2 linked regions of the Alligator mississippiensis genome follow. The protein of the gene in region 1 interacts with the protein of each later gene in a pairwise test. Links are inferred from orthologs where the notes say so. Each region holds a gene or a part of one and is shown in the gene's direction. Other genes may lie near its edges.

Evidence for each region. The genes of interacting proteins can lie anywhere in the genome.
Region 2: the proteins of TASOR2 (region 1) and ERH interact in binary tests that used the Homo sapiens proteins (3 or more experiments, as listed by UniProt). The two-hybrid records come from large-scale screens. The link is inferred for Alligator mississippiensis from reciprocal best matches to the Homo sapiens genes TASOR2 and ERH.

Annotation. Positions count from the first base shown.
Region 1 is NC_081827.1:6,055,430-6,063,367, reverse strand, and holds the start of TASOR2 (protein TASOR 2), read left to right. Parts: upstream 1-4,895; 5' UTR 4,896-4,986; coding exon 4,987-5,002; intron 5,003-7,938.
Region 2 is NC_081825.1:232,523,314-232,530,944, reverse strand, and holds the start of ERH (enhancer of rudimentary homolog), read left to right. Parts: upstream 1-4,530; 5' UTR 4,531-4,546; coding exon 4,547-4,549; intron 4,550-4,590; exon of another isoform or gene 4,591-4,689; coding exon of another isoform or gene 4,690-4,692; intron 4,693-7,631. Other genes in the region: SLC39A9 (zinc transporter ZIP9), read right to left, coding at 4,074-4,169. UniProt on the Homo sapiens protein: May have a role in the cell cycle.

The DNA of each region.
Region 1 (7,938 bases):
ATTGCTCCTTGTCCTGTCATCTGCCCCCACTGAGATCAGTCCAGCTCCATCTTTGCAACCCCCCTGCAGGGAGTTGAAGGCTGCTATTCAATCCCCTCAGTCTTCTCTTCTCCAGACTAAATCAGCCCAGTTCCCTCAGCCTCTCCTCACCAGTCCTGTGTCCCAGCCCTCTAACCATTTCTGTTGCCCTTCACTGGACTCTCTCTAAGTTGTCCACATCCTTTCTGTAGTAGGGGTGGGGGGCAAAACTGGACACAGGACTCCAGATGTGACCTCACCTGTGCAGAATAGAGGGGAATAATTACTTCCCTTGATCTGCTGGTAACACTCCTACCAATGTAGGCCACGATGCCTTTAGCCTTCTTGGCAACAAGGGCACACTGTTGACTTATATCCAGCTTATTGGATATGACAGGGGCATGTATATCCAATACCCAATATTGTATATAAATTCATAGATTCATAGATGCTAGGGTTGGAAGGGACCTCAACAGATCATTGAGTCTGACCTTTGGCTTGGGCAGGAAAGAGTGCTGGGGTCAGATGACTCCAGCCAGGTGCTTGTCTCCTCTTGAAGACCCCCAAGGTAGGGGGTTTAATTCATGCTACAAGTTTAGTTAGTTTAGTTCATGCTACAAGAGCACTACCTCCCTTGGAAGCCCATTCCAAGTTTTGGCCACCCTTACCATGAAGAATTGAATAATTCAAATTGTGGCACACACAAAAAAATATCAACAGCCGGAAGAACTGTTTACATCCTCTTTGCTGATGGATACCAAGAAGTCATCAAAAAGCTATGGTACTCAAAGCCATTCAGAAAAATGTGTTAAAATGCTTTGAAACAGAGGAGGGGAGAAGGGATTTCTTGAAATCCCAAATCTATCCTATCGCTCAGCTTCCCATTGACAAGCCACAGGTAAACACCTAGTGTGTTTTTGCAAGCTCCTTGCTGTGAGATCAGAGCACTTTGCAACTTGGAAAGAAGTTCATGGAACCTCAGTGTTGTTCTCTGTTCTCCTAGAAAAGCAGTGATATACATCTATGGGTGGATCTAGGATTTTGAAAATGGGGGTGCACATAGTGAGGTGCATCATCACATAGAATCATAGCAAATGAGGGCTGGAAGGGAGCTCAGGAGGTCCCATCTAGTCCAACCCCCTGCTCCTAGCAGGACCAGCCCCAACTACATCGTCCTAGGCAGGGCTTTGTGTAGCCAGGTCTTCAAAGCCTCCAAGGATGGAGCTTCTACCACCTCTCTGGGTAATCTGCTCCAGTATTTTACTACCCTCCTTGTGAAAAAGTTTTTCCTAATATCCAACCTCAACTTCTCTTGTTGCAACTTGAGCCCATTGCTCCTTGTCCTGTCATCTGCCCCCACTGAGAGCAGTCCAGCTCCGTCCTCTTTCGATACAAAACAACACATATACAACAACATATATTTTTCTCCAGGTAAAAATAAATCAGAACTTTACTAATCTGCTAGGGGCCTATGGCTGCGTTATTTAGTTTAAGACTGAAGCAAAAACAAATATAAATTCATTAGAATGAGGTAAAAACCATCTGCAGGGCTGTGAAATAGGAGCTTCATGACTAGGAGCAGTGAGCAGACAGCAGAACTGCAGACCAAAGGGTGACTTGATTGGTGAGACATTGAGACCATAAAAAAAGAGAAGATCATTAACACCTGTAGGGTGAAGAGTTTAGAAGGGATGGAGTAGATGACAATGAGCCATGAAGTTAGTTGATTCCCTCAACGCTGCCTGAGTAGAAATGCCACTGCCACTGCCAGAAAGTTGGTTTTAAATTTTGGGTGAAGCAGGAATTAAAGGGGTGTGTAAATGCACGAGTGCACCCCCTTGGATCCACCTCTGTGTACACCTTCCTTCTGCTGTGTCCCAGAAGAAAGGCACAGAGAAGTGTGGGCTAAACTTCATACAGCCTTGGAAAGGTAGTTTGGGAATCTCCTTTTGAATGGGTTTTTCTGAACCATCTGATTCTAGAGCAGGGGAACTGCAGTGACCTTTTTATCTCCAAGCAATTTAGTCCCTGGAAAGTGCTTTGTAAATAAAATTAGAAACACAGAATCATTCAAATTTTAAGACTGGGATGGACTCAGGCGGCCACAACTAGTCCAACCACTTTCTCCAATCAGGATCATTCCTGTTGAAACCATTCTAGATAGACAAGGGTTTGTCAAACCTTAAAAATCACAAGTCTCTAGACTCATTAGGCATTTGAATCCAGCAACTCAAGCACAAATCGTCTCTCTTGGCCATGTACATATGTGCATGGGTATATATACACAATTACTTTATACATGTATAATTTCTATATGACATAATATAGAAATCACTTTCAATACGAATGGCCAGGAGCACCAAGGGGAACTCACCTGGGTACGTCGTGGGATCTAGACAGGCACTCATAAGTCTGAGCTGTGTTGCGGATAGAGAAAGGGGGTAGAATCCCTGCAGCCTCGTCCCAGCTCTGACAGCGATTCAATGTCTGACCATGGACAAATCACTTTTCCTTCCTGTGCTATGGTCTCGTCATCTGTAAAAATAGGGGAATGCCAACACTTCCCTGCCTCTTGGAGTCCCTGAGATTCAATGGGCTGCAGATTACTTTGAGACCTTTGCATCACAATCTTTGTGCTCAGTTGCATCTTTGACTCTGCCACTGGCTTGAAGTATGACCTTGGGCATGTCACTTCCTCTCTCTGGGTCTCTTTTTTTTCCCTCCCACTGTGCATCAGTCTTGTCTCCCTCTCACACTATGTATATCTCAGCACTTAGGACCGACGGGGCTGATCTCAGTTGGAGCTAGTAGGTACCGGGGGGGTACAAATGCAACATAATCAGAGATTCCTACCATACCCAGCAGAACAGGTTCAGCCAGCCCCAGGCGGACATGTTTTATCTTAAGTAACCTATTGCAACACTTGCCAACTGGCTGTGTTTCCTCGGTGGTGGGATCTATTCTTCAGGCAGTCAAAAGCAGAAGGCAGCACAAGGTAACCTTGAGACCAGCTGGTTCAGAGAGGTATAAGCTTTTGTAGGCAACAGCCTCCTTCACCCGGTACAGAGAGCTGATATTTAAAGAAGCAATACTGAATCCTGCCGTGACTGCCGCCATCCTGGAAGCAAGCAGTGGGGCAGCACCCCCCTAAAAAATGATGGACAAATGAAAAAAGCTTTGGTTACAAATCCACAGGAGAAAATCATACGGGAAAGACTGGTGTCAGAGCCAAAAGACTACTAAAAATCTCATGTTGTTCGCTTCTCTTTCCACCTGATAAGCAGCTGCTCCATTAAGAGATCAGCTTTCTCTACGACTGACAAAAAAACCTGCTTTATATGGTGGTTAGGCAAAAGGGTTATTTATCCACTCTTTTCTATTTCAGCGGTTTTAGAATCAACCTCGTTAGACACCAGGCCCCCCTCGGAAAGTGCCAGCTGTTCATTTTCATGCATTTTTTGACTTTGGAAAAGTAACAGAGCAATTCTTCTGTTGCAAAGAACTCAGAAACACCACAGCAGGTCACAATGATTTGGGCACTGTGGATTTCTATTTGAAATCTCTGGGTTTATCCTGTGACTTGCATGGATGTAGCTGCACACATCACAATACAAATAATGTGTGGCACCCTCATCTCATGGCACCCCAGTTGAGAATCACCACGCTGCAGCTTTGCTACGACTATCTACGAGTGAATGTCACCGCTTTCTAGTTTCTTCTTTGCAGTATAGTTTCTCTGGAAGAAAAAGGGCAGCTGGGAGGAGGGAATAGCCACTGCTGATAAGGTTGCTTAAAACTAGAAGGGGAAAAAAAAATCATTGATTTCAAAATACTTTTAATAATGGACTTTGAACCTAAGTTTTAGTAGCTGCCTGCTTTTCACAGGAAGGGGAGCACACCCGTGCTCCTGTCCTTTGATCAACTGGGACTGCCTTTCAAAGTATGCCCTGCCCAGCCACTTCCAGCCGCCCCGTCGGACCATGGCAGAGCTGGGGGGTGCATGCAGCACAGCTGCTGTTGCCCTTGGCCAAGGAGCCCTCCCCATCATGGGGGAAGGTGGGCCATGAACCCAAATTAGTATCAGACAGTGCCGTGCCCCCATCCCTTCTCATGTCAGCCCCAAAGAGGCCTGGGGAAGGTGTGCGCGCTGGCAGGGGGCATGAAGGGCCAAACCAGGCGTGGCTGGGAGGCCACTCCACTTCACTTTCACCAGCAGCAGCAATTCAAACCATTAGGGAAGTGGGCACAGGGCACCTCTCCAGCCAGCCGGCAGGGCACACGGGGGCACAGGGCATCTCTCCACCCAGGGCTCATAGGGCGCATCTATACGTGCGCTTTAATATGCATTAGTCTATTTTAGACATAAAAATCGCAGTAAAGGTGATATCTTGTATTAGACCAAACAGATTTTTGCAAAAAAAAAAGTAAAAAATTTTAATTGCAAGCTTTCGGGCTCAACCCCCGCTTCATCAGGCATCGGAAAAAAGATTGCCCAAGTTCTCCTAGGTAGAAATGCAAGCTCCTATTTCGTAGGCGACTTAAAACCCGTGGGCATTTAAACATGTCCATTGGCGGCGCGTGCGTCTCAACAGCAAAACGCACACACACCAGCGCAGTTTCGAACTAAAACACCTTTTGATGTGTTTTAATTCAAAAGCACGCCACCATCACGTTCCCATTAGCACAGACACGTGTACAAACGCCCCATGATGGAAGGCGCCCCCACGCGTGCGCAGACGCGCCCAGGCGCGGCATGGAACGCGGGGCCGCCGTAGACTAGGTGGGGGGGAAAGCGGAAGCGGAAGTGGAGCACCACTTCCGGGTCAGTTTTCACTTTCTCTTTTTTTTTTTTTTTTTTTCCCTCCCCTCCCCGGCGGCGGCGGCGGCGGCACTTCCTGCGCGGGCGGCCGACATGTTCGCGGCGCCGGGCCGCGGGATGCGGCCCCGAGCCTGAGCGCGGCAGCGGCCATGGCGGAGCCGCCTGGTGAGTGCGGCGTCGGGCCCAGGGGAGGGGGAGGCTCGCGCCCCTCAGGAGCCGGGTTTGGGGGGGCTGAAATGATACCGGGCCCCTGTGTGGGTAGCCGCACGCATTGATCTAAGGACATCAGCAGACAAGCTGGAGGTGATATCTTTTACGAGACCAACTTAAATAGTTGTGGGGAACCATTTTGTCTAGCAAGCTTTCTGGTTTAAAAACCCTTTGTGGGGCTGAGGAAGTCTGTGCAGTCGGTGTGCGCTCTTCCTAGAAGGAACGAATTGTCATACGCCAACTCTGCTGCAAAAAAAAACCTCTCCGAAAACCCACAACAAGCCAAAACGTTGTAGGCAGTTTGGATTCGTATTTGAAATCTCTGGGTTTCTCTTGGGGATCCTGGGTAGGTGTTTGCACACTTAACAGTACAAATCGTCTGCATTGCAACAGGTGTGCAGAATGCTGTGCAATACTACAGTATTCTGTACAACCGTGCAGATCGTCTGCATTGCAACAGTCGTGCAGAATGCTGTGCATCACTACAGTATTCTGTACAACCGTGCAGATCTTCTACATTGCAAGAGTTGTGCAGAATGCTGTGCAATACTACAGTATTCTGTACAACCGTGCAGATCGTCTGCATTGCAACAGTCGTGCAAATGCTGTGCAATACTACAGTATTCTGTACAACCGTGCAGATCGTCTGCATTGCAACAGTCGTGCAAATGCTGTGCAATACTACAGTATTCTGTACAACCGTGCAGATCGTCTGCATTGCAACAGTCGTGCAAATGCTGTGCAATACTACAGTATTCTGTACAACCGTGCAGATCGTCTGCATTGCAACAGTCGTGCAAATGCTGTGCAATACTACAGTATTCTGTACAACCGTGCAGATCGTCTGCATTGCAACAGTCGTGCAGAATGCTGTGCAATACTACAGTATTCTGTACAACCGTGCAGATCGTCTGCATTGCAACAGTCGTGCAGAATGCTGTGCAATACTACAGTATTCTGTACAACCGTGCAGATCGTCTGCATTGCAACAGTCGTGCAGAATGCTGTGCAATACTACAGTATTCTGTACAACCGTGCAGATCGTCTGCATTGCAACAGTCGTGCAGAATGCTGTGCAATACTACAGTATTCTGTACAACCGTGCAGATCGTCTGCATTGCAACAGTCATGCAGAATGCTGTGCAATACTACAGTATTCTGTACAACCGTGCAGATCGTCTGCATTGCAACAGTCGTGCAGAATGCTGTGCATCACTACAGTATTCTGTACAACCGTGCAGATCGTCTGCATTGCAACAGTCATGCAGAATGCTGTGCATCACTACAGTATTCTGTACAACCGTGCAGATCTTCTACATTGCAAGAGTTGTGCAGAATGCTGTGCAGTACTACAGTATTCTGTACAACCGTGCACATCTGCATTGCAACAGTCGTGCAGAATGCTGTGCAATACTACAGTATTCTGTACAACCGTGCACATCTGCATTGCAACAGTCGTGCAGAATGCTGTGCAATACTACAGTATTCTGTACAACCGTGCAAATCGTCTGCATTGCAACAGTCGTGCAGAATGCTGTGCAATACTACAGTATTCTGTACAACCGTGCAAATCGTCTGCATTGCAACAGTCGTGCAGAATGCTGTGCAATACTACAGTATTCTGTACAACAGTGCACATCTGCATTGCAACAGTCGTGCAGAATGCTGTGCAATACTACAGTATTCTGTACAACCATGCAGATCTTCTGCATTGCAAGTCGTGCAGAATGCTGTGCAATACTACAGTATTCTGTACAACAGTGCACATCTGCATTGCAACAGTCGTGCAGAATGCTGTGCAATACTACAGTATTCTGTACAACCGTGCAAATCGTCTGCATTGCAACAGTCGTGCAGAATGCTGTGCAATACTACAGTATTCTGTACAACCGTGCAAATCGTCTGCATTGCAACAGTCGTGCAGAATGCTGTGCAATACTACAGTATTCTGTACAACAGTGCACATCTGCATTGCAACAGTCGTGCAGAATGCTGTGCAATACTACAGTATTCTGTACAACCATGCAGATCTTCTGCATTGCAAGTCGTGCAGAATGCTGTGCATCACTACAATATTCTGTACAACCGTGCAAATCGTCTGCATTGCAACAGTCGTGCAGAATGCTGTGCAATACTACAGTATTCCGTACAACCGTACAAATATTCTTCATCCTTAAAAGGATCTCATGGCATCCTAAGGTATCACACCCTGGTTGAGAATCGCTGACCTACCTGACCCCGAAGTCAGCTGCAGGTTCAGAAATCCAATTAAAAAAATTTAGTCTTGATCTTTTCTTCTAACCACGAGAAAACACTTCCCCCTGTGTTTTATTTCATTTGTTTGTAACCATCACCCTTTTTCCTAGTATCAAAGTTTTGCTGATGCCAATAGCAGGTCTAGACCCAAAGTCCAAGTTGTGTTTTTATTTTTTGTAGGCAAAAGTTTGCCAAACCATTTCCTCAGAACAGTTTTTTTATTTGGTGATTTGATGCCCTCCCCCATCCTTGAAGCACCAGAAGTCATCATCGTGCTCATGCAGGAAATCAGAAAGTGAAAAAGGCTAGAAACAAAAGTGAAACTGAATAGTCTGACTTGTCTAACATGGCATATGTGCATTGTTGAACAGGTTATAGGATGTGAATGGAGGGTAGAAGTGCTGTTAACGATGGGAATTAGACTGAGGGGGGCATTTTGTATGAATTCTGTGCCTACAATGGTGGGATTCAGAAATATTGGGCGAGTTTTGCTGCAGGTAGGAAGATCTTGGAGAAACCAGGTAGTTGCAAGCTAAACAAATCTTTGAAGACTGAACTCTGTGATGTGCTAAATTGAGAGCAAAGCACTGAGGGGTGGGGGGTGTTTAAGCTGCACCACATTTTTGGAGCAGAAA
Region 2 (7,631 bases), on another chromosome or scaffold:
GCATGAAAAAAGGGATTTGCCTTTATATAATTAGAGAGAAAGCCACTACAATGGTTTTACTTTCCCTAAATAAAGTGAGAAAGTACTGATCATCATCATCTGACATATGACAAAGCCAATGCTAGTTTATGACAATGTTACCAGTCATTTGCAAAGGTTTAGGGTTGAAGACTAAGAAAAATACTATGGGGCAAGCACTTTCAGAAATTAACAATTATCACAGCTACACAGCAAAATGATTAGGTTATTTTCACTATACAAATTGTACTTTGGCTAAACCAGCACAACTTCCACGTAGACATTTAATTTGAAAGGAGGCTTCTTTTTTTTTTTTTTAAATGTTACACACGTTTCTAATCAACATAAGCAAACTAAGATTATCCACACAGCCTTTAATGCCATTTCAGCTTAAATCAATTCTTAAAACACAAACCTTCAGTTAAACTGGTGCACTACACGTAAACAAGCTGAAGAATTTAACATAATTAAAGTAAAACCAGCATGGCTGAACATTCTGAAAAGTGGATGAAGTTTAGTTAACCTTACTTAGTTACTATAGAAATGGGAGCCATTTGAAGATCACTTATAGGCAGAAGTGCTTGAATTATATTGTGGTTAAAGTTTTGTGAAGTACACCAGTCCAGAAGTTAGAGAAAACAAGAGAATCATAAAGCCCACAGTCTCCCCCACAGCATATGTAAAAAGTGATCAGAAGTCACGTTCAGGACTTGGTCTCTCAAGTCACCACTCATCCCTGGCCCATGGAGCCATGTCATCCAGTCCACACGTCCAAAAATGTGGTGGTGGGAAGTACTGGCAGCAATTGCCTCTCCTCTGCTGCCAAATTTCCAGACCCATGGGGAGCCACATGAGCCAAACACTGGATTAGCACATGGAAGTGGGTTGTGGCCCAATCCAGCCACACAGGAGCTGGCTACAGGTGGCTAAGGACCGGATCCTATAGCACAGGGTCAAGCAGAGACAGCATGGGGCCCCAATCTGGTAGGGGCTTTAGGGGTGGTAGTGCAAGGCCTTGCAGCACTCATCCAGCCACCCACACCAAAACCAAAACAGACAAATTAATGACAGGTTCAATTTCCAATGTCTGATCTAGTGGCTCACAAGATACAAACACTTTCTCAATTTTCCAAAAGCATCTTACAGCATTTGTTTTTAATATTAAAAGGGTACAGGGACAGTATTCTTTAATGGTTATTCAGAAAGCCAATCTGATAATCACAGCTCTTGAAAATGCAGTTTGCCTTACCTTAACTTTTAAAAGTGATTAAGTATGCATACTAGTAAGTAAAATACTTTTATTTCATAGATTTCATACATTTTCATAGACATTAGGGGATGGAGGGGACCTCATGAGATCATCGGGTACAGCCCTCCCCCGCATAGGCAGGAAGTCAGCTGGGATCAAGTGACCCCAGCAAGAAATAAATCCACCTGTTTTTTGAAGGAGTCCAGAGTAGGTGCTTGCACCACCTCTGAGGGGAGTTTGTCGGCCCCTTGCTCACTGGCACTGGAGCCTGGTGCTGAAACATGTGGCCTGGCCAGCCACGTTTCAGCACCAGGGCGAGGGCCAACCATAGAGATGCTCTGGCAGCAAGAGTGTCTCCATGGAGGACCCAGCCTCCGGTTGCCTCAGGGAGCAGTCAGGGACTATGCCCTGCTCCACTTTTTTAAACATCGATTTTTTTAGACCCCTGGATATCCAGGGGTCTAAATTTTCTCCCTGCACTGCAAACTTGCAACATGGGGAACATTTTTTTGTTCCCACACGTCTGTTGCCCCACCTCAAAGGGGTTTGAGGAGGGGCAAAAGGCACGTGCGCGCTCGTGTGGACGCGCCCTTTGGGTCCAACCCTGTAGCCAGCAGTTGCCTAGCCATCGGACTGTATGATGATCAAGGCCACAGTTCCCCAGCTTAACCATGAGGACATCATGGGAAACTAGGTCAAAGGACTTCTTGAAGTCCAGATATAGGACGTCCATGTCATCTCCCTTGTCCAGGGTGCATGTTACCAGGTCATAGAAAGAGATGAGGTTGGTCAGGCAAGACCTACCAGTCACAAAGCCATGTTGGCTGGCATTCAGCAGCTTGCCATCCATTAGTCTGGCATTAATGGATCCCTTGACAATTTTCTCCAGGATCTAACATGAAAGACCATAAATATGCAACTTAAAACTGACCCGACCAAAGTTCTCTATTCTAAACTAAAAACAAATCTGCTCAAAATCAATCAACAGCTTATCAGTAACCAAAAACAAAACAAACAAAACAAACAAGCCCCCAAAAGACCTACATTCCTCCAAGATGTTAAAAAAATTAACAGTATTTTAAAAAAACCTCACAAGAAAACATATACCCATTTTTCCCTGAAGAAAAACAAGGTAACTATTTAGTAAGTGCTGCCAAAGATCATTAGTTCATCAGTGATAAAAGTTTGTGACTTAAAAACAATGATGGCATCCAACTAGAGGCACTAATGATGCAAAGGCTCATTTATATGCTTAACTTTAAGCAGGTGACTAGTCCTTCTGGATTAACGTGTGCATTTGACAAATGGGGGCCAAAAAACAGTATAAGGTAAATAATGTTCCCAAGATGAAACGTAGTGTACTTAATGGAGTCGCTCCACTTATTTTCATACATATCTGAATCTGAGAGAAACATGTGACTGAAAACAAGTGGAGCAACTCTACTAGGTACAGTACAAAATAAGCCTATAACACTAAGCCTACTTACCCCAAGGGGTAATTTTTCAATGCCTGAAATCTGTCCTAACAGTTTCTTCCTTTTAAGAGTACTGAAGTCTAATTTGAAAGGTACATTAGCATGAAATAAAGCATCAATCATGTACTCCAGGAGTAGAATTCCTTACTATAAGAAATTAATCAATAGCACCCTTCTTCCCTGGCATCTGTTGCAAGTTATAAGCAACAAGGCTTTTACTTTCTAGTTTAAACTCTTACAAAGCAGCTCCATTCCTGCTGGCTTTTTAATACATCAAGGGAGACTAAAAACGTTATTGTGACCCATTTCTTAAAACTCTGAAGTCCAAAAACATCATTCCACTTCATAATGGTGCATACGTTCAAAAAGCCTTAGTCAACTGTATTAAAGCTCTAACACCTAGGGCTACACATTGCCAGTATGGGGCACAATATAAAAAAGTAGTATTTCCAAAAAACCTGAGCTTATGCTTTAAGCAACAGAAAGCATGGGTGATTGGTACCTTTCAAGGAAAAAAAAAAAAATAAAAAAATCAAGCTGTAACTTCCAGTAAGTGTTCAAACATAGAAGTGAATCAGGAAATTCAGACCATTTAGTTTACCATATTAACACATCACTAACTGCACATAATAAATATTTGAGTAATGAATGAGGGTGTAAAGGGGGCTAAAAAGTTAAGTGATCTCAATTTAAAAAATGTAAAGCAAAAAGACTCTACTATTATAAAACTGAGTTGACGTTATAGATTAGTAAAACAAGCTCAATTCGAGGGGTGCTATATTCTCCCACATTAAAAGCCAGAGGTTTAACTCTTAATCCTTGTGATCTCCTTATTTTTAAATATGCCACTTCGTTGTGCGTAATCGTATTAACCAAAACAGCACCCTCAAACTTGACTGAGAAGTGACAAAAATAAATAGACATCAGTTACCTTTTAAGGTACCCAAGGGAAGTCAGCAACTAAACGCTCTCCTCTGCAAAATTAGTTAACACTCACTTGCTTCATTGTTATCAGTTTCAGCAAGGAAAACCAGGTATTTAAAGTTTATTTCTCAAGACCTGACATCTCTACTGACCCAGCCCCTCGCTGCTACCTCTTCAGCCTCTGCTCAGACGGGCGCCCCTCCACACCGCTAATCACCCGCGCTGCCCTTCTCCACCACTTCTTCGACAGCCTTTTTTCTGAAGCGCGGCGGGCACAGCCGGCTACAGTCCTGGTGCCCCCCTCAGCCAGGGGTTAAGCCAGGCACTCCCGGCTCAGCCCGAGGGTGCAGGGGCCGCCGGCAGCCCCCGGCGAGGCGATGGAGCCGGGACACGCGGGACGCCCTCACCTCCGAGAAGTTGACGGCCAGGGGGATGATGCCGGCCACGTAGCAGCCCACCAGCATGGCCAGCGACAGCAGGCTGATGGACACGAAGTCGTCCATGGCGACGGGCCCCGCGCTCAGGTTCCCCCGCGGCGCTTCCAGCGCTGCCGGCCGCGCCGGGGCCGCTTTCGGACCCCGCCCCTGCCCGCGGGGCCCGACCTCGGCCCTCAAGCTCCGGGCTCCATCTTGGCCCCGCTGAGGCCAAGTGGCAGCTTCTCGCTCTGGCGCTTGCTCCCTCCGCCGGATCCGCTTCCGGGTCACCCACCGCCAAGATGGCAGACCTCACGAGGCGCGACGGAAGGAAACGCTGCCTTTAGCAAACATGGCAGCCCGAGTCTCCGCTCCGGAAGCCTTCCCGGCATGCGCAGCGGCGGTCGCCCGCCAATTCTCGCGAGGTGCCTGGGCGGCGCTCTGGCTCTGTGGGAGGTGCTGTCTCTATGGTGAAAGTGGGCTGCAATGAGAAGGGGGAGGGAGGGAAGCCGTTTGGCGGTTGCTGAAGCGTTTCCGGTCGGCGCGGGGGATTGTGGGGGACGGTTGGGAGCTGCTGGTTCGCGCCGGGGGCTGTGGAGAGCGAGTCGCCATGGTGAGGGGGAGGGGGCAGAAGCGGGGGCGCCGCAGGGGCTTCGGCCGCGGGCCGCGGAGCGGGAGGCGGAGGGGCCGGGGGGTGCGGGGCGATTCTGGGGGGACAGTGCCGGGCTGCGCGCGCCATTTCCCGCGTGGGGGGAAGGGCGCACGTGGGGGGGGAGGGGCGGGATCGGGCCCCGCGGCGCACGTGCGGCCGGCAGAGTTTTTCCCGGACAGAAAGGCGGTCCCCGGCGGCCGCGGCCTCCCCGGGGGGTCATGCCGGGCCCCGCTCGAGTCTCAGCTGCTGCCGCAAGCCGGCTACGTCCCTCTGCTCGTTCCGGCTTGGCGCTGCTGCCGTATTTCCGTCCCCAGGCCCGGCCCACCTGACACTCGGAAACGTGGCTCCTGCCGCCGGCCCAGCCCAGCCTCCTGGGCCCCGAGCGCCCCTTTGGAGCAGTACCTGGCTTCTTTAAAAAAAAAAAAAAAAAGTGAAACTTTTTTATAAGAGACGTGCTGCTCCCCGCAGCTTTGGAGCCTGCTGCAGGAAGCCCCTGCTTCTGCTGTGCAATAGGAGGAACTCAAAATCCACTAAAAAGGTCTGCTAGGTAATCCCTGCCTGCACTTGCACTGAAGCGGTTGGCACAGGGTCTTTCCGCCCCACTTCCCTCCCTTGCTTGTTCACTGGTGGCAGTAGTGTAGGTGGGTTGCAGCTGGTAGAAACCTTTCTGCCAGGGTATGGAGCCTGACTGATCCAGCTGTCTGCACCGTCCCAGGTGCTTTTGTAGATGCATACCCAAATAAATGTTTGTCAACTTCCTTTAAACGTAGGAACTGCCACAATAATTCAGACCAATTGTGTAGCCACTGGGTGCTTCTACGCAGGTAATTGATATAACTGTATTTACTGTGGCTCAGTTTGAGCCAGAGTAAACTAATCCCAAAATCACTGTCTACATGTGCATGTAAGCACACTACTTTACTGTGCTGCTGGATACCACTTGTATCTGACTGGGCTGTCGGGTACCGCAGTAAATTAGTCTGCTATTCCCTAATCGCCATGCACCCGTAGATGGTGATGCTTTATTTAGCACAGCAGATTGGTCTGCTGCTCAGTAAAGTGTCTTATGTAGACGTACCCATTTCGCAGTTGTCAAAGGTACAAGAATCCCAATTTTGGGCAGGATTTCCCATCCCGTGTCAGTTTGTTCTGATGTGTGGTGGTGTGGATATACCATCTCTAACTGGGGATAGAGATTTTCATATTTCTAGAAAGGTTTGACCTTTTTTGTCTTAAGCCCCTATCTTATAGCAATGAATTCTGCAGCTCAGTTTAATGGGTTATTTTTGCTTTTTGTGTTGGAAAAATCCTCGTTTCCCAAAGTTGAGGGAAATTGATTGAAATGAATTGGAAGGAATCAATTGTGTGAAAATCGGGAGTTCTTTAGAAAGAGTTTATTAAATGACTAAAAGCCCCCAGTTCCACTACCAAGGAGCTCAAAACCCACCTTACTTCGGTGGCGAATCAAAAGCAGAAATTAGAAACTTAAATCCCAACACAACAAATGCAAAAGAAGAAATAGCAATACAGAAAATGGATATGGGAAGATAGATGTGGTGGGGGAGCAAGATTGGACAGATGATCTCTGGCTGGTACACCAAAATGACAGAGAGAAGCTAAATATTTTAGGAACAAAATAGGAAAATCTAGCAATAGTATAGACGCAATGCTTCATGTAGGCAGTAAATTGTTAATGGTGCAGAAGAGAAGTTTTTGGTAAATATTTTTGCTCTGCATTTTACAAAAAACAGGATGGTATACATTTATGAAAATATATAAATATTTCAGGAGTGTGAAAAAATACTTTCCAGTTAGTAACTGGGGAGGTTGTGCACAGGAAAATAAGGCTGGAAGGGACTTCATGAGGTAATCTAGTACAGCCCCCCTGTTCAAGACAGGATCTTCCCTGACTAAATCATCCCAGCCAAGTCTCTGTCCAACATTTGAGAATTTCCAGGGATGGAGATTTCACAACTTCTCTCAGTACCTGTTTTGATGCTTGACCCACCCTAATAGAAAGTTCCTCCTTTTTTCCAACCTAAATTTCCTTCACTGCAGCTCAGGGCCATTGTTCCTAGTCCTGTCCCCTACAGCTGCAGATAATAGTTTTTCCATCTTCTCTTTAATCATCCTTCAGGTATTTGAAGGCTGTTATCAAATATCAAATCCCCCTCAATCTTCTCTTCTCCAGACTAAATGTCCCCAGTTCTTCCAGTCTCATAAGTCTTGCTTCCCAGGCCACAAATCATTTTTGCCTAAAACTGGACCTGGTACACCAGGTGAGGCCTCGCCAGTCCCGAATGGAAGAATCCCTTCCTTTCACATGCAAGTGACAGTGCTGCTAATATGACATGAAATGCTGGGTTAGATAACATCTCTTAGAATAATCATTTATAAAGGTCTGAATAACTTGCACCCAGGGGGCACATACTCCTGTGTGCGTTTGCTGAAGCAAAAATAGCACATGTTTGTGCCACTGCTTTTAGTGGCTGTGCACGCCCCGGCTCATGGGGTTTGGTGTGGGGCAGAATGCCCCGCTTCAGGGAAATGGCTGTTTCCCCACTCCTCCCAGCTCATGGCATGCTGAAGAGGAGCCAGGGGACACCTAAAGCAGTTGAGACACTCTGGCTGGTAGCCAGAGCATATCCCTGGAGGACCCAGCTTCCAGTTGTGCAGCTTTTTTTGACAGCGTTTTTTTTGTTTGTTTTAATACTGAGAGTTCCCAGTATCAAATTTGCAGCGTGGCAAAGAGTTGCACATGCATCGCATGTGGTATGCTGTGCTTCAAACAGGTTTGAGGCACCACAAACCACATGTGTGCTCATCTGGACACCCCCTGAGATACTAAAAGAGTTGGCCGAGGACATCTCTGGCCTACAGATGTCACTTAAGCTTGGAAT